Schizosaccharomyces pombe: one gene and its partners. Changing the gene in region 4 together with the main gene of any one other region gives a genetic interaction. Each region holds a gene or a part of one and is shown on either strand. Other genes may lie near its edges. The genes, in order: hip4, ani1, abo2 and ers1.

The links.
Region 1: mutations in ers1 (region 4) and hip4 together harm fitness more than expected from each alone (negative genetic interaction), as found in Schizosaccharomyces pombe (2 studies listed by BioGRID).
Region 2: mutations in ers1 (region 4) and ani1 together harm fitness more than expected from each alone (negative genetic interaction), as found in Schizosaccharomyces pombe (2 studies listed by BioGRID).
Region 3: mutations in ers1 (region 4) and abo2 together harm fitness more than expected from each alone (negative genetic interaction), as found in Schizosaccharomyces pombe (2 studies listed by BioGRID).

The regions. Positions count from the first base shown.
Region 1 is NC_003423.3:655,728-663,220, forward strand, and holds hip4 (histone H3.3-H4 chaperone, HIR complex subunit Hip4), read left to right. Parts: upstream 1-2,897; 5' UTR 2,898-3,357; coding exon 3,358-4,374; 3' UTR 4,375-4,504; downstream 4,505-7,493. Other genes in the region: hsp3103 (ThiJ domain protein, glyoxylase III), read right to left, coding at 596-1,381; rrp1402 (ribosome biogenesis protein Rrp14-C), read right to left, coding at 4,657-5,358; SPOM_SPBC947.06C (spermidine family transporter), read left to right, coding at 7,213-7,493. UniProt on the Schizosaccharomyces pombe protein: Component of the HIR complex, which functions as a histone chaperone that cooperates with cia1/asf1 to promote replication-independent chromatin assembly.
Region 2 is NC_003423.3:4,061,889-4,066,460, reverse strand, and holds ani1 (FKBP-type peptidyl-prolyl cis-trans isomerase), read right to left. Parts: upstream 1,942-4,572; 5' UTR 1,905-1,941; coding exon 819-1,904; 3' UTR 501-818; downstream 1-500. Other genes in the region: sporulation specific PIL domain protein Meu14, read right to left, coding at 1-44, 86-167; deoxycytidyl transferase Rev1, read left to right, coding at 2,303-4,572. UniProt on the Schizosaccharomyces pombe protein: PPIase that acts as a histone chaperone. Histone proline isomerase that increases the rate of cis-trans isomerization at prolines on the histone H3 N-terminal tail. Proline isomerization influences H3 methylation thereby regulating gene expression.
Region 3 is NC_003423.3:1,436,194-1,445,915, reverse strand, and holds abo2 (ATPase histone chaperone), read left to right. Parts: upstream 1-3,194; 5' UTR 3,195-3,343; coding exon 3,344-6,949; 3' UTR 6,950-7,081; downstream 7,082-9,722. Other genes in the region: nrk1 (nicotinamide riboside kinase), read right to left, coding at 243-442, 529-895, 1,070-1,138, 1,241-1,265, 1,320-1,351; SPOM_SPBP22H7.04 (uncharacterized protein), read right to left, coding at 7,082-7,849; actinomyosin ring linker protein Sbg1, read right to left, coding at 9,093-9,638. UniProt on the Schizosaccharomyces pombe protein: Probable ATPase which may play a role in nucleosome organization.
Region 4 is NC_003421.2:797,367-806,624, forward strand, and holds ers1 (RNA-silencing factor Ers1), read left to right. Parts: upstream 1-3,791; 5' UTR 3,792-3,830; coding exon 3,831-3,861; exon of another isoform or gene 3,862-3,897; coding exon 3,898-3,973; exon of another isoform or gene 3,974-4,012; coding exon 4,013-4,061; exon of another isoform or gene 4,062-4,100; coding exon 4,101-4,150; exon of another isoform or gene 4,151-4,173; intron 4,174-4,205; coding exon 4,206-4,620; intron 4,621-4,665; coding exon 4,666-5,945; intron 5,946-5,994; exon of another isoform or gene 5,995-5,995; coding exon 5,996-6,043; exon of another isoform or gene 6,044-6,080; coding exon 6,081-6,191; exon of another isoform or gene 6,192-6,233; coding exon 6,234-6,515; intron 6,516-6,565; coding exon 6,566-6,652; intron 6,653-6,693; coding exon 6,694-7,135; 3' UTR 7,136-7,177; downstream 7,178-9,258. Other genes in the region: histone H3-H4 chaperone Spt2, read right to left, coding at 1-603; rps1501 (40S ribosomal protein uS19), read left to right, coding at 916-1,377; protein Fta4, read left to right, coding at 2,477-2,618, 2,693-3,252; rRNA processing protein Ipi1, read right to left, coding at 7,261-8,261, 8,312-8,434, 8,483-8,555, 8,599-8,643; protein mug4, read right to left, coding at 8,896-9,258. UniProt on the Schizosaccharomyces pombe protein: Involved in RNAi-dependent heterochromatin formation and centromeric silencing.

The DNA of each region.
Region 1 (7,493 bases), on a different chromosome or scaffold from region 4:
TAATTAATGCAATGCAAATGATACTGCAATCTAACGTGTCACTAAAAAAAACCGGCAATGACAGTAGCCGAGTTTAGGCTTTGCAAACGCTCGTTTACGTTAACTAAGTTTAGGAAATATTAAACGATTCCCCAATTTTTAAAGAAATGTAAATTTCTTTTTCAGTTGAATAAGTAGCTGTATCTATTCAGAGGCGATGTTCTTATAAGTATAGATGGAAAAGTCTTCCATAAAGAAGGTCATGGCAGAAAAACTTGAAAGTGTTCGAAGGAGCGATTTGTGGTACTGTTGCTTGTTGCTACGGTGTTTTGTATTTACAGATGAATGAAAGTATATATCAATATAGATTCATAAATGTGAAATCGTTTTTTTGAAAAATTCTGACAAATTTTTTTTTATAGTATATATTCAATCTTATTCATTTCTAGTGTATGTAATCCACTTTAAATATCATCAATGATTTTGAGTGTTATTATTCATCGGCGTCAAATTATGTTCGCATCATTAATTTTTCCTGTATACATAAATTTCATCATACGTTCAAATTAATCGTTTAAAAAGACTCATTATCCAATAGCTTTATTATCGTTTCGCTTTACAAAACACGCAAAGCCGTTTTCGCCGTAGATGTAGCACTTGCAGGATTGGAACCAGTAACTAATCTTCCATCTGCTATTACAAAATCACCGAATGGGTTTGGTGACTTGATAAAGTTGGCTCCTGCATCATTCAACATATCGTCCAAAACCTCCAAGTTGTATTTTTTCAGCGCTTCCATAAGTTTGGATTTATCCTCGGCCACCCTATCGAAGGCGGTAACATCTTTACCACAGACAATTGAAACAGAGCCGTCGGACGTTTGACGCTTCATGAATGGAAGTAATGTAGGACCATGGCACACGGCAGCTACTACTCCCCCATTTTCATAAATGGAAGTACCAAGTTTTTGCAAATTTGTAGCTTTTGGAAAATCAAATAGAGTGGCATGTCCTCCTGCTACGAAGAAAATGTCATACTTGTCAGGATTCACTTCGTCGGCGGTTTTGGAATTTTGCACAATCCTCCAAAACATATCATCCTTATTTTCCAAAACATATTTTTCAGCTTTGGATAGCTCAGGGCCACTTGCGATGTGATCATCATAGCTCAAAAACTCTTCACCCTTAGATCCCTTGTCAATTGCCGGACCTGCTACTGAATGATCATCGAATTGGATTTTCCCTGATTCAGTAACAATGTCAACATTGAAACAAGCATCTCTAAATACCAAATAAGGATGTAACAATTCTAAAAAAAATGCTCCAGTATTCTCACCATCTTTATAAAATGGTCCATAATAATCAGAGCAAGCAATTAAGACATTTCTAGTTTTAGCAGGCATTTTTGAGTTAAAAATAGTTTGTATAGTGCTTTACAATGTATAACTCCTTGAAGACAGAAAGAGTTCGATGAAATTGTTTGGATTTTCGGTGAAGACCATCCTTTTATGTCTTTTTTTTGGACTCTAAATATTAGTATTTCTTCGATAAATTTTCGTTTATCGGTTTTTTACGTAAACATTAAGTAAAGTGCAACGTCCACTGATTAATTATTTCCATGTCAGTTACAGAAATTTTCTCCTTAGACGGCATAGCTCTTTTCATTGCCTATTGGTATTCTAGATGCAGCAAGTTCATATAGCTAACGACTTATTTTTTGCTAATTCACCCCTAAACTTGTAATGTGGCTACGAAATGCATTTTGCATCTGGTTTGTTCGAAATTCCGTATGACAGCAGGAGCAATGCGTAGCCAAGTATTAGTGATGAAAAAGGCCAGGGTCTCGTACACTGAGCAAATAAATTCCTCGTACAATAGCAGGTTTGCGTATTCACATGTTTACATTCTAAAAGTCGAATAATAGACGAACAAAATATGTCTGAAGCACTGTTATAATCACACAACGAAAGAAAAAGAGATGTCGGGTAATTTCTGGTTCACCGGCTGAATCAATAATTCGTTAACTTTCTTTAACAAATGTGTATTCGACATGAATTTTTCTAAAAATCAAAAAAATGAACTAACTACCACTTCCTGCTAAATTTTTAATAAAAGGATGGTGAGTTGTAACGAAAACCACAATATACTATAAACCACTGCTGTATATGTTTTGTTGGCACTAAAGCAAACGATGGTTTCTTTTTGCCTTGGTAGATCAGGAGTTGTAATCTAGAAAATTACGAATAAAAATATTCGTTGAAAAAAAATTCCTAGGATGTTATGACTTTATTCTTCGATAGAGTCGCAAATGTCTATACTACAATGAATGCGACCTGCAGTAGAAAGGGAATAACGAATTGGGGAGCAGCTAGCTATTTAGGAGAAATGATTATGAGAAGTAAGCTTATATTGAGTACAATTTGTTTATTAAGAGCTTAAATGATTAAAATGACAATTTCCCATTCATACAGTTCTGTAGTCATGATACTGTGCACACATGAACAGTTTTCTTTACTTAGTAGTGGAGTATTGATAAAGCAATGCCAACTGAATACCCAATTTCCATGAATAAAGTTTTCCTTAAAAACAAAAAATTCAGATCAATTAATCATTTTCATTCCTTTCTTTCCATTGAAAATCTCCAAACTCATATATACGTATAGTAATTAGAAATGATAATTTATCTCTTCATATAATTAATAAATTTACCCTATATATAATGTAACTTTTTTCTGTGTACCACAAGCTTCTGTAGCTCAGTCGGTGGTAGCATCCCTCTCATATAATGACAGGGGAAGGTCGTGAGTTCGAGCCTCACCAGGAGCATTCTTTTTTGCCCTTTACTTTTAAGAAAGTGAGGATTGCTGCGCTAATGTTGTTCAGTATAAGTTGCATTATAACGTGCTATTTACTTGATCTATCCCCATACTGTGGGAATTGTTCGTACTCGTTTCAAAGTTATTACCAAATAAAGTATTACTTTACCATCCTCCTAATCAAATTATTGTTTATCATTTAACCACTTTGCATTTTTTGTTGCTTCTAGTTCAATCACTTGTTGTTGCACTCTCTTATAGAAATTTGACGCAGCGTCGCAGAACTTATCATTTATTCAGTTACAAAAAAGTGCAAGCGTCCAATTTCTCATTTTTTGGTCTGCAGTTTGTTTCTTTAATGCTATCAACTCTTAGCCTTGTTCAATTGTTAAGAGTGCTCTTGAATTGAAAATTTCTATTAACTTATCCATTGGATTCAGTGAAACGACGGCACTAAGTCTTGGACTCAATTGTAATTAAAACTACCATTTTCGCTTGTTAGGATTACTTTTCCTTGCAAATTTTTTCTTCTACGTTTTCACTATACTTCGCTTTTGTTCGTCATGTCGCTTTTGTCTGGCGACCAACGAATTATTTGCTTGGAAATTCCTTTGCAAGGCAAAGAAAACGTACATATTAATTTTGCAAAAGAAGTGGAAAAACTTTATGGACCCTCTGTTCAGGAGAATTCAAAAAAAAATGATCTTTCAGACTCAGCGGATTCTGAGGGCGAAAGTACACATGTTGATGAGCAACAAGCAGCTAATGGGGCGGCCGATGGTACACAGACCATAAAGAAAAAGAAAAGGAAAAGGAGGTACGCTGACGAATACTACGATAGAACAGATCCCTTTATTGATGATGCTGAGCTCTACATTGAAGAGAAGGCTGCCGCTACCAAAGATGGATTTTTTGTATTTAGCGGTCCACTCGTGGCCGAAGGAGATACTGTGAAAATCGAAAGATCAAAGAAGACTAAGAAAAAGAAGAAAACATCTTTATCCAATGCTACACACCCTGCGCCAGCTGTCTCTGCGGTGGTGGCTTCAGCGGATGCTAGCTTTGACGATAGTAGGGATATTGAATCTGAGGACGAGCAGCCATTAAGGACTTTGTCCATTGAAATGGCTGCTAAGAATGCTTTAAAAGAGGCAAAACGGGAAAATGCAAAGGTTCCCAAGGATGTCTCTAAGAAGGAAGCAAAAACAACGAAAAGCAAAGAGAAAGCCACAAAAAAGACATCCTCTTCAGTGCCCAAACAAAGTACGGGAGAAAATACCAAAAAGGCTGTTAAACTTGAGACACCTCTTACATCTACACCCCCTATACCACCTCTCTCTGAACCAAAGCATTCTCCCGCTACTGTTAATGAGCACATTTCTCCTCCAAGTGCTTTAACTAATCCTTCTACGGAGGAACTCAAACCTTCGACCTCCCTACCTATTGATCAGGGCAATGCTTCTGTCGTTTCGAAACCTACTCAACAAGTAAGCATCGTTCTTTCTCAGAATGCATCCTTACCCGTTGATGAACATCAAGCTGAACCAGAGAAATCAATTCCAACTAGTAGCATCCCATAATTATACATATGTAGTGACCTGAAGATCTGTCAATCGATTTCTGTATATTATTTTTATATCATATTTTTTTCGTTAATAAAAAGCAATTATCATCACACCGCATTGATTATCTATTTCTTTTTTAAGGCAGAATTTTGTTTCAGTGTTACTGTTTGTATGAGTAAATTTATGTATTCATTCATAATCAAATGACAAAAAAAGCTATTTAAACCCAAACCTCCTTGTTAACCATTAAATCCCAACAGACCAGTATAATTTTTGAACAAATTTAAAGTTAAGCGTCTATTTTTTCTTGGATGGCTTCTTCTTTTTTGGTGCCTTCCCCTTCTTAGACTTTTTACTTTCTCTACGTTTTTTCAAATTTTCTTCTCTACGTTGCTGCCGCATTAACATTGCTTTTTTTTCGTTGTCCTTCCTTTCCTTCCAAGCGTCTGAAGACTTTTTCTTTTCCTTTTCTTTGCGACGAATGCTCTTTTTAAGCAATTGCTCGTTATCTTTGAGTTTTTTCCCTTCTGCCTGAAGCAAAACTCTATGCCATTTATCACTTTCTTCAATTTTTCTCCTTTTCTCTTCGTCCATGCTTTCAATACGGCGTTTCTTGGCTTCCAAATGCTTTAGAGCGCCAAAGACATCAGTAGGACCTCGCTTTTTTCCGGCAACTTTTAGTTTACCATTCGAGAATTTGTCATCTCCGACTATTAAAGTACCATAAGTAATAGTGCTCTTGTGGTTGTCATTTTCCTCGTCAGCAATGTTATCAGAAGAGTTCCCAGTGTCATAAGCTGCCACTTTTGATTCCTGTTTAGCCTTTGACTCCTTTTTAGCTAACTTCTTCGCTTCAGCACGAGCTTTTGCCTTTTCTTTTCTGCGCTGTAAAAGTAGAGCACGGTCTACTTTTTCAGTAGCTTTTCTTTGAGAGCGAAATGTCTGAATCTTTTCAGCAAGCTTTGCTCGTAAGTCATTTTTTCCTTCAGTTGTTTCCATTACAGACCGATGATAAAGGAGGAATCACAAATAATGGAGAAAGAGGATGAAAATACACAATCAGAATTGGGTTAATAAACAAAATCCGATACAACCCGATAAAAATAGAAAAGGGATGTTAAAATTTCTTAAACGAAAAAAACTTTTGAATTGATGATTGATAATAAATAAAATGAAGCCTAATTACCCACGAACAAAAAAAGAGAAACCCGATAATATGGAGTTTGCGAATCCAAAAACAATTGCTTTGAAAGAAAACTTAATAAAAGGGAAAAAAAGCTAAAGTAATACAAAGATTCAATGGCTATTCAAGATTGAAAGAACGCCTTTTTGTAATAAAGACATGTACTTGTAGTGTGGAAAAGACTGAAAGAAAACCTCTATTTCGAAATTTAACGTAATACGTTATTGTATTTACCAAAAGTTTACGCGCCGTTATTATTGTTTAATGAAAAGGTGCATACCGTTAAGCGAGATAATGGGTAGGGTAATTTGTATTTAGTCCGCGCAGAAAGCCACAATATTGGAAAGAGTAAATAGTCTATTTCCGCGTTTATGAGTTTCTCTATTTTGTAAAAAAAAACATTTATGAAAATAATTTTCTATGTTTTTCGTTATGACTTTGATTCCACAGTCATACTGGAAAGGCTAAAGACGATGTAAACAAATACCTGAACCAAATGTATTTGGAAGGGATGCGATGATACGCAAGCATTGAGTGTTTTAAGAATATCCCTTATCCAAGAGGAACAAGATTGTTTTCAGTTGTTGGATTTTATCAAGAAGCAGCCTCGCATAATATAAAGACGGATGTTGGGTTCTGAAGAAAACGGCAATTCCGTTTTTAAAATCCCCATAAGCATGTAGGGCAGCATATAGGCCGAAATTAAACAAAAAAGAGGAACTTATGATGATAGAGGTCTTCTTATTTTGGTGAAAATGTACAATTTCGTTTTTCCTACGGAATGGAATTGAATTGCATTGTCGCAGTCGCTGTCTTGAACCTCATCCCTAGATACTTGCGAATTGAAATATTTATAAGAATGCGAAAATGATTTGAGCGTGTTTTTGTTCCATAATAAAATAGGAGTATTTTCAAATGACTCTTATGAAGGTTCGTAGGAAAAAAACCGTTAAAAAAAATAAACATAGTAAAAATACCAACTATCTATCCAGCACTATTCCAATTCTATCACACCCAGCGCGCATTCTCTTTCTTTCCCCAACTGGAAAATTCAAGTGCATAGAGTGTTGTTTTCCATGGACAGCATATAGGGACATTGGCCTAGTGAAGCTGGAAAAGTAATGCATCCACGCAGCATTTTTTTTTTTTTACATTTAATCAAAATTGCTTCTTTGACCTTCTATGCTGCTTTATTGCTAGGATGGACCGATGTGAGCTCAAGTTCTATACAATGTGAGCTCCACTACAGCTACTTGCATTAGGACCCCTATCTTATCAAAATCTGGTAACTTAGTGTGGTACTGTAAAGATGGGTTATGTGAAGACATATTTTATAATGGTATGCAGTTATATAATTATAAGCTGTATGGTAAAAAATGTGCCTTTGGGAAAATATTTATATTAAAGAGGTATCTCTAACCTTTTTAACATAATATTTTACAGCAAATGCTTTTTTGTTAACATTAGAGTCCAGACTAGATAGATGGTATGGGCGATGCTGAGGCTGTCAACAATAATGAAAATTTCGGCCTCGTACTGAATTTGCTGTTTACAAATAACTAGACTGGGATGAAATAGCAGCTCTGAAAGCACTAACACCGAGGTTTACGAAAAATATAACTAGGAAAAAGTGTTAGACATCGTCTGTGATTAATTTCCTTCTTATAACAATGAAAGAAAATGATCATTTGAACAGCGTCTCATCCTCCGAAATAGAGAAGTGCGATGAAGACGTTGAGGAGGAATTATACTCCTATCCTGACAGCGATTTTCTTGTAACATTCAATGGCGAAGACGATCCTGAGAAACCGTTGAATTGGCCAGTTTCAATTAAACTATTGAATACAGCACTTTATGGATTGACAACATTTGCTGCACAGTTCAATAGTACTACCATGTCACCTACTACTTCTCATCTCGTCAATGCATATCCAATTGGTCATGAGGTTGC
Region 2 (4,572 bases), on a different chromosome or scaffold from region 4:
GTCATCTGCATGAGATAGTTCTTTTAACTTGCTGATCGAAAATTCTATGTCATTAACTTATTTATCACACCAATTTATATCTTACTATTTTTATTTAAACCCTTCACGAGACCGTTTTCTCTTAAAGAGCCTTTTCTCTGCATTTTCAAGTTGCTTGATTTGGGCATGTTGATTGTTTACGTTTCAGAAAAATATATGCCCGCCTTAAGATTTGCCTGTAAACAGAAGCACAATTTTCAAATAAACAATATAGAAAAAAGACAAATAATAAAAATAATTCTTTAAATTCTAAAACTGCTTGTTTTTTTTTAAGTTGATTATTACGATAATTAATTTTAAGAATTTCGTAAACAAACAGCTGTTTGTAGACTTATTTAGCGATAATCAGATAATGGCTCTTTTATTATCAATATGTTTTTTTTTACTTTTAATAGAGTTTTTCGGAATGTTCTCGTTTATATTTACTCAAACTCAAAATTCCATAATTTAAACATCCTTAACTAGTATCGATCAAGGAAGCGCTATTCTCTTTTCTCTTAATGCTCATACACATACAAACAGCTCTTTCTAAAAAATTGTATATTGATTATATCTCCTTTATCACCCAACAATCCAAATCATCCAAAAGTCCTATATCCAAAGTGTTTGTAACACTTAACTAAAAAAAAATTTCCTAACTCAAATACAAAATGATACCCTGATTTTTTTTGAAACCTAAGAAAAAGATAGGCGATAAAAAGAGTTAATAGAATACATAGTTTAATCCGCGATCTTCTTAAACACGGGAGTTAAAGTATGTTCATCTTCAACATGAAAATTTAGTGAACGCGAACAAGCTTGACTTCAAAAACTAAGGTAGAATTCTTGGGAATTCCTGGAATGCTCTGGTTGCCGTAAGCCATGGGAGCAGGAATTGTAATCTTACGCTCACCGCCTTCTTGCATTCCAGCAACGCCGACGTCCCACCCGCGAATAACCTCACCACGACCAAGGATAAAAGCAAAGGGTTTACCTTTAGTGTTTTTGTCAAAAACCTTTCCATTTTCGAGCTTCCCAATATATCTCATTTCAACTTTTTTCCCATTGGTAGCAGACGCACCGCTCCCAGTTTTAACATCAGTTACAACCACGCCTCCTTTTAAAGTACGAGTCTTGGGACTAGAAGGTGCATTAGAAGAAGCTTGTTGCTTTTCTTTCTTAGCAGCGGGACCAGTAGGTCCTTGTTCAAGTTTTTCGGCAAATGCAACCTTCTTTTCCTTAACAGGGGTACCCTCAACCTTTTGCTTCTTGGTATTGTTTTTCTTAGGAGAAGCAGCCTCTTCTTGCTCGGATTCATCCTTAGTACGTTTTTTTTTAACCTGTGCCTTTTTAGCAGGAGCTGAATCCAATTCATCCTCCTCAGATGCTGAATTATCTTCCGACTCAGATTCCTCTTCACTTTCCTCATCACCGCTGACAGTCTCGACAAGATCCTCCTCAGTAGGAGACAAATCGTAATCCTCGTCAGATTCTTCCTCTTCCTCATCTTCTTCGTCAACCAAAAAGTTACCAGACAAGTGGATGGTTGCATCGCCAGATGCACTGAAGAAGACTTCGTCGCCAGGAGTAATGGTCAAATTTAAAGGCTGTTGGTATAAGGAACCAGGCTTCAAAGTACATAAAACAAATTCACGCTGGCTTTCTTCCAGAAGCTCTTGCATTTGTTCGTCAAGTTCTTCGTCATCTTCATCTTCAACGGGGATACGGGGACGAACCTTCACCAATAAAGTAGTTGGTTTATTAGACTTTTCGCCGGCATCAATGGATGCCATAGTCAAATGAATAGATGCATCTGTAGATTCCTCCACAGCGGGAACATCTTTTCCCTTTACCGAAAGACTATAAACAGCAATTGGAAGAGACATGACTTATTCTTGCCTAAGAGGTGAGGTGGTAGAGGATGTAAAAAATTTTGATACATAAACCGTTGTGTATTCCATTAAGTAAGGGTAGTGCGTATTACCGCGATTTGCAAATTATACTCAAAATTAATTAAATTTGGACGAGCGTGCATCACAACAAACGCGTAGTAATTATTTTTGATATTTCGTTGTTTTTTACTTTGAAATAGTTTGGCTTCACGAGTTTTGGGATAAGGTTAAATAATGAAAGAAAAAAGCTCTTGCAGTTAGTTTTTCTTTATAAACATTGTTTGTTTATTAATTACACTTTTTCCGCTTAAGTGGCTACATTATTATTTGTATTATTTTCCTTTCAGAAACATATTAATACTTATATTTACTGAAAGTGAGAAGCGCGCTGGATGGCTTTTAATCAAAGGAAGCGTCGACGCCCAGTAGGGATTGCAGACTTTGACGAAGCAAACGATGAGGCATACGAAAGTGTTGGGTTCCACGACTATGCAGATTATTTTTCCCGGAAACAAAGAAAGCTTCAAAATCAAAATGCCGCTCTATACAAAAGTATTGATGAAGATTCTAAATCTGATCTCTTTCATGGACTTGCAATAGCGATTAATGGATATACAAAGCCGTCTTATACCGAATTACGGCAAATGATAGTTTCAAATGGAGGTACTTTTATACAATATGTTGATGGAAAAACAAGCATATCATATTTGGTGTGTTCATTTCTCACTCCTTCCAAAGCTCGCCAATGGAAGCATCAGAAAGTGGTTAAACCAGAATGGATAGTGGATTGCATCAAACAGAAGAAAATTCTTCCGTGGATAAATTATCGTACCTTTCAAGCTTCATCGGCTCAAGCTACCCTTTCTTTTGTCGCCTCTAAACCTAGCCAACCCGAAGGTAACTTAGAAGATATTCAAACAAGCTCGCAGGAAGAAGAACATGATAATGAAAAAGATAAAACAAAAGAGAGTAAAGCAAAGGGATTTTTAGATGATTTGAGTGGATTATCAGCGTCTTCACTGCACAACTATCAATTGTTAAAAAATCCCAATGTCCGAAATTCAACCACTCAAAATCAAGATTTTCTTGAGAATTTCTTTAGCTCCTCTCGTTTACATCACTTAAGTACTTGGAAAGCTGATTTTAAAAATGAAATCCAAGCAATGACTACTGCTTCTGAACCTGTTCGTCCAATTATGAAAGATAAATCAAAAAAATCTCGTTTCCTTCTTCATGTTGATTTTGATTGCTTTTTTGCTTCCGTTTCAACACGCTTTTCTCATGAGCTACGACTGAAGCCCGTTGCTGTTGCTCATGGTATAAAAAATTCCGAAATAGCTAGTTGTAATTATGAGGCTCGGAAGTTTGGCATAAAAAATGGTATGTACGTTGGAACAGCTAAAAACCTGTGTCCTTCATTACGGGTTGTTGATTATGATTTTGGAGCATACGAATCTGTTTCTAGAGAATTTTACACTATCCTTGTTAATACACTTCACGACTATATTAAGGTTATAAGTATAGACGAGGCTCTTCTAGATATAACTTCTAGTGTTTCATCTTTTCAAGATTGCTTTGAGATTGCCGAGTCTATCCGCTCGCAGGTTCGCGAGAAAACCAATTGCGAAGTTAGCGTTGGTATTGGCCCAAATGTTCTCTTAGCAAGACTTGCACTTAGGAAGGCGAAGCCTCACAACGTTTATTCTTTGTCAATAGAAAATGTTTTTGATGTATTGAGTCCTTTGTCTGTTCAAGATTTACCAGGGGTGGGCTCTTCACAAGCGCAGAAACTTTTTAATTTGTACGGTGTGCGTACTATTGGGCAGCTGCAAAGAATTGAAAAATTCAATCTTCAAGAGACTTTTGGGGTAAATTACGGTCTGCATTTATACAATATTTCCAGAGGAATTGATACCGATATAATCAATAATGAAACCCCACGGAGGTCCATATCCGTAGATGTTAATTGGGGTGTTCGTTTCGTTTTTCAAGAGGATGGGATAGATTTCTTAAAACGGTTGCTTCATGAGTTGCTTTCCAGAATGGGTAAATGCCAAGTGCTTTTGCATCAAATTCAGCTTCGGATTTTGAAAAGGGCTGATGGAGCCCCTTTCAGTCCACCAAAGTACCTTGGAGCTGGGGAAGTCACTTCATTTACAAAATCTTCAACTTTTACTTCTGCTACTAATTCGTTTGACTTAATATGGAAGAAGGTGACCTCAATGTATAAAACAATTAATGTCGATCCAGGAGATGTACGTGGTATAGGATTACAAGCTCTCAAAATTATTAAAGACAACTCTAAAATTAGAAAAGATTACCGCTCTATACAGAGCATAACTTCTCGAAATAAAGTGTCGCTAAAAGGTGCATCTGTTGACATATCAAGTAAAGATAAAGAAATAATTAGTCAAAAGAAGCAGCTGTCTCCAAAACTTATTCCATCAACACCGTATGATCTGCCGTCATCTTCTCAAATCAGTTCCAGTGCTCTAGCTCAATTACCACCTTCGATGCAGTCTGATATACAGCAGCAATTGAGGTTGCAAAAGCGAAGTATTACGGAATATCCAAGCCAGTTAGATCCTTTGTTTATGGTTGAATTACCTACTCCTATAAGAAATGAAGTAAACGATAATCATGAGATTGCCATGAACAAACG
Region 3 (9,722 bases), on a different chromosome or scaffold from region 4:
CATTTATTAAACGGTCTAGTTACGGATTATTAATAACATGATGTTCTAAAAGCGATAGTAGCAATAAATATATGGAGAGGAGGAAATGATGGAAAGTAATTAATTAACCCTGAATTTAAAAAGTAAATCATGCACAGGTAGTCTTGTCTAAAAAGAAAAAAAAGAAGCGGTAGAGAGGATTTGTGTATAAGTCAGGTAGTACTCAGAAAATACAAGTCGAAGAAAAGATAGATCAAAACGGATCATTGTAAAGCATTCAAAATTGAATTAATGGCCCATTGGACGTTATCTCTCACAGACATTTTACTAGAAGGGCTTAACTGTATACGCTTATCAAGCAATTTCCCTGTCACATCGCCATTGACAAACAAATGGGAATGACCATGTACATAGCCAGGCCAAACATAATTTTCGAAATAATGTGGGGGGTCTTGCCAAAATCCTGGAACAATTTGGAGTTAGCCTTAACTGAAAGGTACAACGATTAAACACAGGTGTTATGTTTTATCTGGATAGTTGAATTCTTACCTTCCAACGTTATATAACCAGTACGGGCTTCTCTACGACGCTTAAGCGTATCAAAATCGGTCACCAGCATCAGTCGAATATCAAATGCGTTTATAAGGTCTTCATTAACGTACATCATAAATCCGTCTACGAAAACGAGATGCTGTTCCAAAGTTGGAATGGCCGGTGCCTTGAATTCTTTAATTATATCAGCGTATTCTATTAGGGCTTCAGGAGCAACATTTTTATTTTCCCTATTTCGAAGGTGAGTAGGTAACACGCCATGATCACGGATATAATGCAAATTTTCAAGGAAAGCGTCTAAATTCAACGACTCTTGGCAATCCCAATCGGCAATGCCGTTTTTGACTGGTATCTCAGCATCAGTCTACAAAACAAACGAGTTAGTATATCAATAGGTGCTTTGGCACTACATAAAAACACAGTGTTTGCTTCATCGATAAGATTCAACCATCGGTTTTTAAAACGAGGGTACGATTTATTCTATGACACTTGCAAAATTCGCACGACTAGGCAAATAGACGAAATAATCTAAACGAACCTTGTAAAAATCATCTTCATGAACGAGAGAAGATCCTTCAAAAATGGCATGTAAAAGCTGGCATAGAGTCTGTCAAAACAAGAAAGAGAAATTGGTTAGTACTTCATTTTTTTTTTATTTTGGAGTTTTTGATTTTATTTTATTCTTTCTTATTAATCAAAATTATCATACCGATTTTCCACTACAAGAGGCACCACTAATTTTTTCTTGTTAATAAAAATTCATTAAAACAATTGCCTGTAGAACTTACCTAACCCCAACAATGATAGTTTTCCGAGTCATTCTAATGATAATATGGAAAAATGAAGGTAAAAATTGAGACAAGAAGCCTGGACAGAAGCTGGATACTGGAATTCGGTCTGTTATATTTGCACAACACAATTAATTAATTACCAGCCAAAAGCTGTAAGACAGGTTAACCGAATTTTAAAAAGAATTTGGATTTAAACAAAGCGCCTAGTATCTTAAATCAAGCTCGATGATTATTTGTTATGGAAATAAACGAGAATTTTAAAAAGATATGTGGTAAAGAAGCCGAATCCACAAAATTTTATAACAACCAACAAAACTTTTAGATATACAAGAACAAGTAAAAGATCACTTATAACGATTTCGCAAGTATAAGAAAATGGAAAAAGAAAGGAGTATACAAATTCTTTACGGTATAAATGGAGGATTTGAAAGATAATTTAAATTCACCAAATATTAACGCTTTCGAATACGTATAAGAATTTTTATATGGCAAATATGCCCGGTAAAGATTAATGGTGTTTTGAGTTATTGATCGTTTAAAACAAGAGTGAAATAGGAGGAAGGCTGGAGTTGGTAGTATGAAGATATGGTTAGTAGTATAATCAGTCAATAATACAAGGCTTTGGATGATAGCAATATACTAATCCGCTCCCGTCATGTATCCTTTACGAAAAGATAGGGTAGATAATAAGAGTAAAAAATACAATTTTTGTTTAAAATATATATATTTTTTGATTAGATAAAAAAAAGTGGTTCACTTTTTTTATTTATTTAGCCAAAGTATGTAGGAAATTGGAATTCTTTAATTGTTTTGCGAAAATTATTTTATTAATTATTGCTTTTTCCTTTCAAATTTGTGATAAACTATGTCTGAATAATATTAGTTTGCTATTTTCATTTTTTAAGTCGTTTTAATGTCTTTTGCTTATTGTTTACATTACACTTACTTAGTTCTACGGTAGCAAAGTTTTTATCAACTCCATGAAATGCGAATATTTCGATGAATTTAAAAAATATATGTATATTGGTTGAGTTTCTTGAGGCCTTGTTAAACGATTTTTGTAGTACTACACTTAGTAAATATAAAATTTTTTAACACTAGGTGTTTGGCTTCAGTTTTCCAATTTGACTAGCTTCAATTGCTTTTCCAAAAAAAAAATAAAAAAATAAATAAAATATAATAAAGCTATAAATTGCATGTAAATTGGATGAAACAATAGAATTAGTAATAATAATAAATACTGAATTCAAACATTAAGGAAATTTAAGGACACTATTTTAAAAATGAAATCAATATTGATCGAATTTCAATGGATCTGTATTGAATGCCAATGTAATTAGGAAATTAAAAGACCTTTTGGTTTAATAAAAAAATAAAAAAAGCCGTACCGATCTCTACCTTTGTTCATTATATCAATCTAATATGAGACGTAAAACTACGGATTATGAATAGTAAGTTTTCAAAGAGATTATAAAATAATACTCTTTGCATAAATTCTTCTCATCCTTTCAATTAACAGCGAAACGACGAAACACTGACAATCAATTAAATAAAAAAAAATACTATATCAGTGAGGAACGTCAAGTGAAGCTCAAGATTCGAAGTTGGCAATGAACTTTTATCCTCATAGAATTTCAAATCTATCCACATGTCTGTAAACAATGCATCAATGTATGGATATTACCAATGTACTAAACTGATCGTGGACAAATAATCTCAGAAAAGTCAATTTTTAAACAATATTGTTTTTGTAAAGATACTACTTCTGTTGTTTAGTCCAAAAATCCACTTACTCTACTATGTGCTTTCCTTTTCTTATAACGCATTGTTACGAACTTCATTTATTTACTTTTCCTTACAAACCTTCCATTCGTAAACCAGCATGTGGAAAACCTAAGATATCCCAAATTTTTTGGAGCCTTTAATTGTGCAATTGTAAATAAAAAATCTACATAACAAATTGTCTTAACCAAGTTGACAACGTCTTAATTTGTTGGTGCCAGCAGTGCATTTTGCGTGCAATGCGCAGAAGGGCCAGATCCATTCGTTTTAGTTCTGACGATAATGAAGATAATGAAGAAGATGATGATTATTACTCCAACGCACACAGCGAAAAATCAGAGGATCATTCAAATCATATAAAAGTTTCACATTTTGATCCTTCCTCCTATAAACAAAAGTTAGTTTCAGTGCGTGAAACTCAAAGAAATAGAAAATTCTCTTCGTTACAGAAACATCTAAACACAGAAACGCCTTCTTTTTCTGTTTCTATAGAAAATCCTTCAAAGCCTTCTGCGGCATTCAATGATGCATCATTGGGAAAGAAGAGTACTGAACATCAAATTGATGGTATCAGAAATGGAAGTAGTAACCTTCAAATGGAAGGAAATGATAAAGAGCTAGACACTGATAATAATGAGGACGAATCCACTACCTTTAAGGATGAAGAAGACGATTTGATAAGTCCGAAATCATATCTTACTTCTTCAAAAACCTTTTCGTATCCAAAAGCTCCAACAGAATCAACAAATGGTGATTATTTAGATGAAGACTACGTAGATGGACAAAGTGATCCTGAGTCTTCGAACGCCAGTGATTCTGACTTCGCGGATAGCCCTGATGATTTGACAAAAGTGCGCTCACCCATTCCAAGTAGAAGAGGACGTAGAAAAAGAAAAATGAGAGGTCCAATTTTGCCAGTTAAAAAAAATTTAAGGGTCAAGAAGGCAATGAGTCCTCTTCGCGCTGAGCGAAATTCACCAGATTTCCGACGCAAACTTCGTAGTCGTGACAATCGACCGAATTATCATTTATTTGACTATTACAACGAAATTGCATCTTCCCCAAATCCTTCAACAACGAAGATTACTTATAATCCGCCAAAATTGCCTATGAAAGATTTTGCTACTCTTCCCATCGGTTATCAAAGTACTTGCGATAGTGATGAAACGAGTGAGTTGAGCAGTACAAGTTCAGAGCAAACTTCCGACGTTGAAGGACTTAATGCTTACAATAATTTGGGCGCTAGTTCAGATATTGAGAATGCTCCCTCCTCTCAACTTCACTTTGGTCACATAGACGAAAAGACGATTAGAAGTACTGACCCTTTTGCCAATAGGGAAAATCTTGATTTCAATTCCATAGGAGGACTGGAAGATATTATACTTCAACTGAAAGAAATGGTGATGCTTCCTTTGTTATATCCAGAAGTATTCTTACATCTGCACATCACACCTCCTAGAGGTGTCTTGTTTCATGGTCCTCCAGGGACTGGAAAAACACTAATGGCTAGGGTGTTGGCCGCTAACTGCTCGACCAAAAATCAAAAAATTAGTTTCTTCTTGAGAAAAGGGTCTGATTGTTTAAGCAAATGGGTTGGCGAAGCAGAAAGGCAACTTAGGCTTTTATTCGAAGAAGCTAGAAGAGTACAACCCAGCATCATATTCTTTGATGAAATAGATGGGCTTGCTCCTATTCGATCTTCAAAACAAGAGCAAACTCACAGTTCCATTGTCTCCACCTTGCTTGCTTTAATGGATGGCCTCGATACGCGTGGACAAGTAGTAGTAATTGGTGCTACTAATCGTCCCAACGATCTTGACCCGGCCTTAAGGAGACCCGGTAGATTTGATCGCGAATTCTACTTCCCTCTACCAAATAAGCAAGCACGTATGAAAATTCTTGAAATCAATTCTTTACATTTTTCTCCAAAAATACCAGAGAGCTACTTATTACACTTAGCGGAATCTACGTCTGGTTATGGTGGAGCAGATTTAAAAGCTTTATGCACCGAAGCAGCCCTTAATGCAGTTCGACGCACCTTCCCCCAAATTTACACATCTTCTGACAAATTTTTAATTGACCTGAATGAAATATCCGTTAGCATTTGCGATTTTGTAGTCGCATCTGAGAAGATTGCTGTTTCTACACGAAGAAGTGATGTTAAGCCGAATATACCTATTACGGATTCCCACAAAATTCTGTTTAAGAAAAGTATTGAGGTTATAACGTCAAAAATTAGACGACTATTAAAACTTGACGTATATTTACCAACGGTCGAGTCTTTACAAAAACTTCCTGCTGAAGAGTTGATGAGGCAAAAAGAAATTAACTCTCTAAAAACTACCATGTCATTCCGCCCAAGACTATTGATTACTGATATTTATGGATATGGATGTACTTATTTAAGCAAAGTGCTTTTCTCTATGTTAGATGGTATCCACGTGCAGTCTTTGGATATTTCTGAGTTGTTAATGGACACAACCACATCTCCGAGGTCTTTGTTAACCAAGATATTCTCTGAAGCCCGAAAAAATGCGCCAAGTATTATATTTATCAATAACGTAGAAAAATGGCCATCTCTATTTTCACATAGCTTTTTGTCAATGTTCCTTCTTTTATTAGATTCAATTTCCCCTTTAGAACCTGTCATGTTACTGGGGTTTGCTAATACTAATCAAGAAAAATTGTCGTCTACCGTCCGCTCCTGGTTTCCTTCTCATCGAAGCGAATATCATGACTTGTCGTTTCCTGATTATTCATCAAGATACTCTTTTTTCCATTACTTGCTTAAACGTATTTCATTCCTTCCCATTCACCAAAAGAGCGCCGAAGCAGCAAGCGTTGATATTTTACCCAAAGTACTACCAGTTTCTAAAACATCAGATTTAACCGACAAAGTAAACCGAAGACAAAGAAAGAACGACAAGAAAATAAAAAACAAAATTCAGGTTAAACTTAGCTCAATACTTGAAATGCTTCGCTCTCGTTATAAAAAGTTCAAAAAACCGATAATAGATTTAAATGACATTTACATTGATGAGTCGAACGAAAGGGTGGTAAAAGGAAAATCGAAGGATAATTTTGAGTATTTCCTTTCAGGAAATACAGTCACTCGTAAAAAAGACAATGCTTGTTTCAAAATGATGAACTTTGAGGAAATTGAAAGACGCTTATGGAGTGGACGTTACTGTACTCCTAAAGAGTTTTTGCGTGATATCAAAATGATCAAACAAGATGCGATCCTGTCTGGCGACGTGAACCTCAAACACAAAGCCAAAGAAATGTTTGCGCATGCCGAATTAAATGTTGATGAGTTGATTGATGCAAAGCTGTTGTATGATTGTTGTCAAGTCTCCAAGAGGGAAAAGGCATATAAACAACTAAAACAAAAAAAACTGAACAATGCAAAGGATGCTCATGAGATGCAAGAATCAAAGAATGAAGAAACATTTGTGAGAAACGATGTTGCACAAGAAGACAATTTCATTGAGCTTTCGTCAAATGAGGTTCGCAACGTTTCTAATGATGAACATAAACATACTTTATTTCATGGACAATCACTTACTCATAACAATTTGATTGCTGTCACTCCACCTAGCAGGACTGGTGTTGAACACAAAGAAGAGAACAAAAAATACGATAACGTAAATATTCAAAAAACCTTGGCAAAATGTGCAGAGGAATTTGCTGAACATACCAATTTTAATAAGGTGGAACTACTAGATTTTGTTTATTCCAAATTGTCATCCACTATTTGGGAAAATCGTGAGGAGCATGATCTTCTTAAGATAGTTCGGGATGTAAGACAAACTTTCTTTCGGTCGCTTGAGGATATGGGTGTTTAATGAAATTTTGGGTTAATGTGTCTAAGCGATCTGTTAGTGAGATACAACAAATCTAAATGATAGTTGGTAATGAATGAAAGCTCACAATAAAAGATAGGAACCACGAAAGAAGATACATTTGAAATTGAAAAGCTAATATCGGTTTCCGATGACACAGAATAGTACGTCCTTTGAATTACCAGCATATTTTCCATTTGCATTTAAAAGATAGTAAAATGGACGATCGCGAATTTTCAGAGTGATTGGGTTTTTCTGTAGGGAGTAAGTAACGATTGATACGTCTTTTCTTGGAACAATTAATGATTTAGAAAAATAAAGCTTGTTAAATGGTGATAAAAATCCAGTTACAATTTCAAACCGTTGGGATGGTAAGGTAGAAATTGAATAAATATTTCGTCTTGGTAAAAATAAAATCAACGTTAAAGTAAAGTAAAGAGCAGGAGTAATAAAAGCAGATCCAATATAAGATAATTTCTCGTAATAATCCATATCGACCCAATTGGCAAATATCTCATCTTTTGCGCGATATATGTCAACACTGGCAAAAGAAGTAATCACACAGACATTTATAAGCATCCCGACAGTTAATAAATAAATAAGACTGATTTTCTTATCTGCTTTTGCTTGATATACAAGAAAAGGCTCCCGAGTTGTCATTGCTTGCCAAGCAATTTTCGCTGGGGTTGCATTCCGTTTTGAGGTAATATCTTTCAGTATGTTAGAGTTATGGAATTTTTTGATGGGCGGCTTATTAAACACTCTCAATATTGATATTTCCGAGAAAGACTTCTGAATTGGACGCAATGACCTAAACATAGGATTGAACATATTTGTTGAAACAATTCGAGACAACAACGCCTTATGCCTAGCAACACGTATATTAAAGATTAGCATACTCATAACTTCGCAACATGAAAATGTTCAATTGATCAGCTTAACCCTTTAATTAATTAAATTACCCGTGTAAATTCAAGGGTGAAGAATTGAATGTAAATACGTGTAAACATTTTAGCAAATGTTTTACGCATTCGAATAATACTTAGTGGATTATTGTCCGTTTGATATTACCAAATAGAGAATCCCAATGAGAATATTTAAAAAAATAACGCACTCAACCACGATGAAGGCAGCAGCATGGAAAATGCTGAAAAAAGAAATGTAAATGTCAATTATACGGCTGAATAGTCAGACGTTTTAACAAGCCGGGTGTAAAAATTTTTTTGATCTATTCAAGCGCTGCTTTATTTTTATAAAATATGTACTGGCATTGTTGAAAGCTGACTTTTAGTTCATCATGAACAAAATAATATATTTCGGCTTTCCGAATCGTTAAAATGCAAGAAGTAATTAATGTTACAAAAAATTAAAGATGCCATTTACTTCAACCACTCCTCGTCTATTGTTTTCATACACAAATGAAACGGAAACCGTGTAACCTTGCTACATACTTTTAATACAATTAACACTTTACGGACTACGTGGAAAGTGTAAGACAAAAGCAGAATAGCATAAGTCCTTTATTCATGATATAAGTGCTGAGAACGGAGCTTACTCATCCAAGCATATAGACACACAATGCTCTTTTTTTTTTAAAGAATGCTTGAATGGGCACACGTAGCCGATGTACTGAAGGCATATTTACTAACTGATTCATTACCTATAATTTGAGTTAGTCTAACCATGATAGGTCATTAGTTAAATGACTCGTATTTGCGAAATAGAAACCAAATATTATTTATGATGCAGTAAACGATGAATAAATCCAATAAATGAAAGATTTAGAGATTGAACTTTAACGAAATAAGAAGGGCTTGAGGAAGATGCGAGGAACTGGAAAAGAATGATGTGTAAGAAAAATAATAGACATTATCAAAGAAATAGGCAAAAGGTCAAGCACAACTAGTTGAAGGCAGTCGGTTAGACGAAATATTAGAATCTGTAATACTAATGCAAAAAGAGCATACGGAAGAGAAAGTAGTGAATAAAAGAAAGTCCAAGAATTCGTGGTACTACCACAAGGATATAAGAAGCTCAAAAAAATGGAAATGCAATAGAAAGAAGAAATCATCAAAGGAATGAGAAAATAGATACGAGAAAAATCCTTCAACAAGTTCTTATTGAAAGTAAATGAAATCAAAAATACTCAGTTTTTCTTCCTTTGCTTTTCTACTTCAACAGCTGATAAAATAGGATACCCGATGAAAAGCATTAACAATCCACAACTCAGAAGAATTAAAGTCAAAATATTTACAAATCCACGCAAAGTAAAAATATTCAAATCGCGGCCATCATAGAAATCTTCATTGTGCAAAATATCATCGACTTCCTTAACACTAGGATCCCATAAAAGTGTAGCAGACTGCATAGTCACCGGAGACTCCACGGTTCCCAAGGAACTAGCACTGCCAAATGCTGATTCTGATGGCCCAGTCAGTTGTGCTGAGGCAATTTCATCTGTATAAGGAGAATACTTTTTCTCTGAAAAATCCTTGACATGAAAGTCAGAAACAGAATCCATCGGCTGTATATCATGGCCTACGGGCTCTAGGTCTTCTGATTCCCAAATGTCATCGTCGTAAGGCTCCTCATCACCGGCTGAAACTTCGTTAGCCAACTCGTAATTCAATTCATTATCGAGCATATCATCTGGCCTTAAACTTTCATTATAGTCTATAGGTGACTGAGACATTTTTTTCTAATTAGTACTCTGCCTCAGTTGTTTGGTTGTTTACAAAGGAATTTACTCAGCCGAAATAAAATACCAATCACCTTA
Region 4 (9,258 bases):
CGTCTTAAGCCATGCTAGAGATGCCGATATTTGAGAACCACGGCCTGCACGTAAACCAGCGGGTGGTAGACTAGCTGTGGAAGTAGCCCCACTATTACGAACCGGTTGATCTCTAGATGATGAATTCTTAACAGGTTTTTTAGGAGAGTGCGGTGATTGACTTCTCTTATCTTTTGATTGAAGCAACCCCGAGGAAGACGTCTCGTTGACAGCTGGTGCAGAAGATGCCTGTCGCAAAAGCTCATTATACGAACGAGGTTTACCCTGCCTCTCATTTTTTTTGCTTTCGAGCCGATCTTTCTCCTTTACTTCACGGATTCTTTTAGCTTCCTCAGCGGATAAGGGAGGCCGCTCCGACGTCTGTCTTGTCGATGCAGCTATTCTTTTCGCCTCCATAGCTTGCTGGCGTCTTTGCTCTTCTTCATATTTCTGCCGTAGTTCACGCTCACGCTGTAGTTTCCTTTGCCTGTTGCGTTCTTCAGTAATTTCCCGTGCTTTCTCTCGGATCTGCGCCTTTCTCAATTGTTCAATTTGAACTGCGGCTTGGGCAGATTGGCTATCTGCTAAAGCCATTAATTTTTGAAATGATGGGGTTCCTGCCATTTTATTATGAGATACAATCAATTCTTAATAATCCTCCTCAAAAAACCATAAATAATCAGTACAAAAACATGATTACCCTCCTACATGCAATACGATGATGGTTTCTGGTAAGTCGCACACATAAGTTTGATACCCAAAAGCTAAGCGATTGTGCAACGTAACGATATATACAGTACCCCTTTATTTAACTCTAAGAAATTTTATAGGGTAGGGTTTACGTGACTGTTTATAGTGACCAAAACTTGTAGCAGGAAACACTAGAAAAGATACGTTTGACCATCACCAACTACGGCATAAAATCCAATACACAGCATGGCCGAAGAACATGATGAAGCCGTTCGCGTTGCCGAACTGAGAAAGAAGAGAAGTTTCCGTACTTTTGCTTACCGTGGTGTTGAGCTTGAGCAGCTTTTGGATCTCTCTGCTGAGCAATTGGTTGATTTGTTCCATGCCCGTGCTCGTCGTCGTATGCTTCGTGGTCTTGGACCCAATGCCTCTCGCTTCATCCGTAAGCTCCGCAAGGCTAAGACTGAAGCTCCTCTTAATGAGAAGCCCGCCACTGTTAAGACCCATTTGCGTAACATGATCATCCTTCCCGAGATGGTCGGTTCTGTCGTTGGTATTTACAACGGTAAGCTCTTCAACCAAGTTGAGATTCGTCCTGAAATGATTGGTCACTACTTGGGTGAGTTCTCTATCACTTACAAGCCTACTAAGCACGGTCGTCCCGGTATTGGTGCCACTCATAGTTCTCGTTTCATTCCTCTTAAGTAAAGAGATGCAAAAAGGCGGGTTCAATGGATGGTTTCACTTCTATCTTATTCAATAATTTCTTTGTTTGGACTAACGTTGTACATTCGCATAAAAACCTAGGTTTTTTCAAGATATCTAAATTTGGTAGTGAAAGTAACAGTTGTAGAGCTGCGTGTTCGTAAACATGAATTATGTAAAGAGAAATACAGACAGATAATTTTTGTATTTGTAAAGTAACGAGTGTGTATAGTTGAAGGAGCATGGAAGTGTAACACAGAGCCGGACATATTGATTTACTTGACACTTGAATCTGCAATTTGACAGCTACGATTAGATTGCTAGCTTCATGATGTTTTACAAAAGCTACTTGTCCCACTCTTGGCTTGCCATCTAGCTAGTGAACCTATGAGAATATTTTATCATTATATTTTGGAAACCATCATTTGTTTTTGTTTCTCAACTAGCTCGAAATAACCTAAATGGTACTACATTGTAAAAACCAAGCTTTCGTTTACGTTTTACCACCGTAGAGTATATGTACCAATTCTGGGTGCTTGTTTGTAAATCTGAATTTTTTTGTAAGCTATTAGTTTTAAGGATAAATAAATATGTTTAATGCTATTCAATATTAATGGTATATCCTAGGTCAACTTCACAATACACTATACTCTAGGGTTCATCCTTCATAGAATATTACTCTCTTCGCTATATCTTAGAACTGATATATGCACTAATTTTTTAACTCGCATTAGACGAGTCCTTTCTAAGGAGCTAGCTTAATGATTATGTACATAAAATCTTCATTTTAACATCATTCAAAGTATTCTATTTAGTCGCTCGACTTTTCGACTTCTTTAGTCTCCTGTAACTTTCTCAAAATTTGTCATTAATCAACCATCAGCCAAGGTCTGATTGATTTGGTCTTTTTTTGTTAAGTAATTAATTTTGGAAGTGCTTACACTGAAGACGTCTATATGCTCAAAAGTCGCTGTTAGTTTGTTGCCTTTGCGTGAACTTGCTTTGTTAATTTCAATACCATATTGACTTGTTTTTCGATCAGTATTCAACTGTTTTTATTTTAATCCTGATAATCTTGATTTAAATCAAATTTACTTCCTAAATGGATATTTACGAACATAAAAAATCATTCATGGAACGACAGATACGGCTGTTGAACCGACCTATGCGCCCTCCAAAGGATTGGAAACTTCCTTTAAAATCCGGTCAGCTTTCAGAATCAGTCGTTGAAACTGTATTCCAACGTACGTGTTCCATGCTTTTGTCTGGATTTCTCCTACAAATAAAAAGTTCAAAATATTATTATTAACCAAAACAGGATTGCAACTTCGTATCCAAAAGCATGCAAAGCTAAATTATTCACATCAAGCAACTCAGCATGTTGCCGCTCAAATACGAAAGTTATATGAACAAAATAGCGCTATTGAGGACATTACCTTTTTAAATCCATTATTTTATGGAGAAATTGATTTAAGCAATTTAGACAGTGTAAAATCACTTCCCCATCCATGGCCTTTTCAAAAAGAATCCCGACCTGTCGAAAAGGATGAGGAGCAAGAGAAGTTCAATCGTCTTACGGGAGAGTTACTTGGTCTATTAACAACGTTGTCAGAATTAGAACAGGAGCGCTCTGAACTTGAGCAAATCGAAAAAATGTTGGAACCTTTTGAAGATGGGCCTTCTTCAATACATACGAATATGTGGAAGAAAAACCCTGAATTGATATCAACCCTCAACAGTACGAACACCATGGTAGCTAAAATTAATTCTCTTCTCAGAGGGGTTTCATTTCCTTCTTTAAACAATGACAATCAGGAAGCGTCATTGGAGGACGAAATCAGAAGCCAATTATTCGAAAAAACTATTTCTGATGATTAAAAAACTTTTCGTAGAAATTGAGAGGGAATGATGTTCATGAACTCCTATTGCATCTCATCATCTGCTTTTGAAATAATGACTAATACTTAATTGGAGGAGAGGGTGCCTTATTTCCTGGTTTAAGGATTTTATTGACTCTACTAGAAATGTTGGGGCTATAGAAATAACTTTGAAGCTTCTACTTTACGTTCAGATATTTATTGGTTAATGATTTCCTAGCTTTGGGAGGCATTAAGTTAGTTGATAAGACAACACATTTTTATTTACAAATGAGTGTCCGCTAAACAAAATACGTTTCTTAACAATTGTCTTAGTTTTATTTTTTAGTTTACAGTGTTTCTAACCTTTAATGAATCATTACAGCTTATAATTCAAATACTCAGCTCTCGATTGTAAGTACGTTAACATTAATTTTATCACAATTATAATACCTACATACAAGGAACTATAGATTTAATTATTTTTCTTTTCTTCTGATAATTCATAAAGCTTTATATTCCTAATGAATTCATATTACTTCACTTATATTCTGAAGCTGCATATAGCATGTACCATCTGTAAGCTCGATGAAATGAGTGATGGGTAAAGTATCTGCAAACAATCAATCTGGTAAGTCAATGTGTATCATTCTTTTGCTAATATTAGGATTTTTTAAATTTTATATCGATACAGCGTTGCTTTTAAATGCTGAATTTATATCCTCCTTCACAAATTGTATAAAGTATGGTTTTGCGCAAATGGACTATTACTGATGATATAGTTCTGAATATAATGGAAAAGTAAAAATTTCTTACTCTTCTTCATCTCAGGTATTTTATATATCCTAGCTATTGACGCTAATAATTCAGCAATTCAAAGTCATAGTGTACGAGGAACACAAAAGAGAAGCGTTTAGTCTGTAAGTTCCATGCGTTCATCCTAAATATTATTTTAAATATTAATTAACATGCTAGTTTTGAGGAAATAGTTCAAAAGTTGAAGCGCGAATCAACTGTTTACAAGAAACCACGCCTAGATATTCATCCATTCGGGCAATTGCATTATGATTTTACTACTTTATTGAATTTTCAAAGGTACTTAGACTTAGGATACGGTATTGAAGATGTGAAAATAAAAGAAAATGAGGACATTGTTAAGTCTAAAGTGGGCAAGAAACCGACATCCTCCGATTTTTATATTCCTTGCTTGATAAAACCTAAAATCATTACTCCTTTTGAATGGGAAGGAAATTTTAAACAGGTCATTTATTCGCCTACTGTTTACAACGGGAGTTTCAAGCGATTATTTTACCTTCCCGACAATAATGATTTGCTCAAGGAGTTTGCGCATGCTACCAACACAAAATACAAGGCTTCTTTAAAAGATAATGTATGTATTTGTGAAGATACTTCTACCATCCTAACTTTTGACTAGAAAATAGTTGTATTAGCCAATAACGATCAGGACATTAATGCTATGTTGGAGAAAATGAAGCATATAGAGAATTTAGTGTCCCAGAAAGTCTATGAATATCCTGAAGAAACTCTTGTTTATGCAGGAAAGATTGCACCCTGCCAACTGAAATTTCTAAAATTAAAATTTGAAAACGAGATTTTATACACAGCTATGCATACGACATCTATTTTCAAAAGCGTTTTCAATATCCTTGGATCTTTTTATACTATGAGATTATTGAGAAATAAACATGATGGTGATTCTTATGAGTTGGTACCAGTTTTTGCTAAAAATCCTTCCAAAACCCCTCCCTGTAATGATAATTTTAAAATATTTTCTGATGATATAAAGCTGATAGGATGTAAAATATTTGCAGGTGTTTCTTTAAACTTCTCTTCTCCGAAACCAGCGCACAGATTTTACGAGTTAAATAAAACTTCATCCAATTTGTCGATCCCAGTCTTACAAAAGCCGTCAAATTTTCATTCTTCGTCAACCGAATTATCTGATAATTCAATTCATCAAGGAAGGAGAGCAGTTGATCCTGTTGTTAACCAGAATAATCCGTCAAATTTTGAAGAAATGATTATGAACAAGTTGAATAAATTACCCACGATTGATAAGCAAATTTTAGGAACTTCATCTTTGACCCATTTCCAAGATAAAACAACTGCAATTGAGCATTCAATTAATAAGTCTAATAGCAAGCAGCCTCCTCGGTTCAAATTTCAGCTTCCTCCTCGACCTACGAGCAATACTTTACCATTGGAACCTGAAGAAGAGCTGGTTACTAGATATTCTGTTTCTTCGGATGGTAATACTGTTGACGAAGCAATAACTAAACAGTCTCAGACTTTTCAATTGGTCAATTCAAATGAATTTAATGAAGTTAACGCTAATGATGTTCATAAATCTTTGCGACAAAATTGCGCAAAATTGGATTTCGACGATTCAAAGTCTAAAAACCTATTAAGTGTAGAATGTTTAGAGCTTGACAAAGGATCAGATTGTTCCACTCCAAAATCTGGCAGCTTAACTCCTTCAATTGACATGAAGTTTTTACGTTTACAAGATGAGAAAATGGACGACCTTGGTGACAACTATTATACAATTCTAATGTCTTCCAATCCGGTATCAAGCTACGGTGTGGGAAGCTTATACTTATTTCAACCAAAAATAGTATGCTCTGAAAAATACATTAATCACGAAGAGATTGACAACATGAATTTGAAATCATTGCACAGATGGTTATCTAGAAGGTCTGTGGTATTGACTAAATATGTAAACATAAGTCTAACACTTTGTTTAGCTTGCATGTACTTCAATCCTTTTCAGGTGAAATTGAATTGAATTTAGAGTATGCGTTTATTTTTGAATAAATATTAATCCAACAGGTTTGGCGTCATACTATATCCAAATATCTCATCAGATGTGTCGGCTTGTTCACATGGTTTTATGAATATATATAAGGATTTGAATCTTCCCCGATCATATTTTGCAGACTGGTAGGTTGAGTCTTCATATGTTATATTAACCTTTTTATAAAGCATTACCAAATCAGTTTCGAATATCGATTCATTATTGAATACTCCTGTGAAAATTTTGTTTGGACGTACTGAGTATACTTATCCTTTAATAGAGCATGAAGTATTAGATTCAAAGAATTACTTTGTTTTCAAGGGAAGTTTATTATTTACAGATGATAAGAGAAACAAGACAGAGGATTCCACTGTATTTTTTTCGATGATTTGTTCTTCAAAGTTAGATCAGTTTGCGTTTTATAAAGATTCTAAGCAATCTTCTACTTGCACTATCAATTTTCCTTTAGCGTATGTTATGAATGTTTTTAAGGAAAAAAACAACTAATCATGACTTATAGCTTATGGGATTCCCGTCTACGTATCGAAACGAAAGTCCCTTTAAATGATGCGATACTTACAGAGTTCTCCAAAAGTATTAGATTTAGGTATGTCAATTTCTGAAAGCTTCGACTAATCAGTTGACTAGAAACGTAAATAAGGATTTACTGTTAGTCTTTGGAAATATGGAAGACAGAGTAATAATTCATTCGGTCACAAGAATTAATGAAAACTCTGTACCTTTTAACAAAAATTTACTCCCTCACTCTCTAGAATTTATATTAAAATGTTCAAAAGTTAAGAGCTATGACATTAGCCCGTCATCTATTAATTCCAAAGAAGCCTTCGTTTGTCTCGACAGATCCAAGGAAAGCAAACCTATAGAATCCTGTTTCAGTCTAAGTATACAAAGTGTGTACATGCAGTCTCAGTTCAAATATAATAACAGTATACGCGCAGGAGAAACGGCTCCGTGGAAACTTGCAAATAAACAATTCATTGGTGGGGCTATTACTGAGAATGTTTCAGACTTGTATACTGCAGCAATTATTATGGTGAATCAATTAGGGGGGATACACCCTACTATTTAATTAATTTTATTTATGCGTTAATATCAATTTTGTTTATACCACTTAACATAAATAACCCCTCAAACCAAATTCTTAAATTAAAACAATGCGAGGACCCATTTAAAACGAAACATATAGAGTCAGTTTCATTTACCCGGGTTCTCCAATGCATCCAATTCCACTGCACGCTCGCGCAATTTATCGTATCCTTTCAATACACCTCTCCATTCGGAATCTGTTCCATAATTGATATTTATCAACTCTATGTCCCTATTTATTTTTCTTAAAACTTGAGATATTTTCTTCCTATGATTGTTGGGTTCATCAGCTACACTGAAAACTTGTTCAGTAAACAATCCAAGCATCGATAAAACCGTTCTACAAACTTTTGAAGCAGACGGAGAGTTGGATCCATCTTTAACAACTGGGCAAGCGTCAGACCACGAGTTTCTAATGAATTCTATAATTCCAGGTATTAAAGGATATATTGTCTGCCAACGGAAAGTAGGGTTATCGACAAGATCGTGTTTATTTGGATTGAATAGCGACAAATATGCAAATGAACAAGGAGATCTAAACGCCTCGTATTTCGGATGTATTACAATGCATTGTTGCAAATAGGGATACTTTAAATGAACGGATGATTGTTGATTTTTTGCTTGTAACTTAGGGTTCAAACCCAATTGTAAAAAATCGTTACATACAGTTAGGTGTCTTATCATGTTAGCGGAAGACTTCTTTGAAAAGCTAGTTGTTCTCTTCACAGAGGCACTCTCTGAGTTCCACCCGAGAAGGTTTGTAAAGCACTCTAATGTTTTCTTCCACTGTAACGAAATTGCAGAGGAACTTAGCCGATCTTTACAAGCATTGATGAGTAAGGAGAGAAACTTTGTAGAGTCATTCCGTATTGAAGGAGTAATATGAGTCATCCCTGAGTGTGTGTAGAGAAATATCATTCCAATGTTCGGTTCCAGCAATTCTGGCCCCATTATATATATAAATTTTTCAAGAAATCGATATAGACAATCTCGTACCGATGAGGATTCATCAAGTATCAAAGGCGATGTTAACTTTAACAGCAGCGCTGTCGACGTCGTCAAAATGCTTGTATGAGATAAAACATATTGTGTAAGCTTTTCCAACGTCTCTTTAACATGTTAGCAAAAGATGCATAAGTTAATAGAAAATTTCTCTTACCCTGCCGTTGATTGGCATTATGATGCTTTAACATTCCTAAAAGATGTGCAAAGTACGCCTGATCCTTAGCTGTTGTATTGAAATCCTCCTTTTCTAAAGCTGCCTGTGTTGGAAGTACGAGCGCTAGATGTTTAGGTTAGTTATTTGAATAAAAATTCCTTTTGTTCATACTTTTTGTTCTGAATGAGGTATCGGTAAAATTATTTGGTGCATTTTTTGATTTTCCCACCTTGAGTTTTTGTTTCTAAAAAATCAGTTAATACAGCTATTTCCGACAACAATTTTACATTAAAATCAGCTCTTTTAGCTTTTGCTTTCTTTGATTTACCCATATTTAATATATTGTGGAATTAATTGTACAATTTAAACTTCGTACTTTCAGACAACGTTACGTTTGGTGGAGTACCCAAAATGTAGAAAATGTGAGTAGTGCCTAATGTAATGAAATGAGAAAATTTTCGATTTGTTAATCCAAGTCGTTTTGCAACAACACATTCATTAATAAAAAATTTCAATTTAATCAAAAGATTTGCATTTTGTATGTACGATTAAAAAAGTGTGCTGATGATTGAAAAAATTAATGTTTAGTTGGCATTGTCATCTTTCTTCCTATTTAGCCGTAAAAATCCAAATGCCTTATGAAATTGCTCCCTTTCAAGTTCGAATGATGACATTTTTGTAACAGCTGGCATTATTTGAGTGCTAGTAACCGATACGGTTTTGTAAATTTCAGTTGGTTCTTTTTCATAGTAATCATGTAATTTCATATTCACTGCCTGCAGTTGCAAAACTTTATGCTGTAATACATTTAAACTCTTTTCCATTTCACAACTATGAGGCAGTGGAGTATCAATAAATGAACTGTTGTCTTTAGCGACACCATAAGGAAATGTTAGTTGATAAAGTATAAAAAGTGTCATCCCCGTAAAAGTCAGAAACACTAGGAA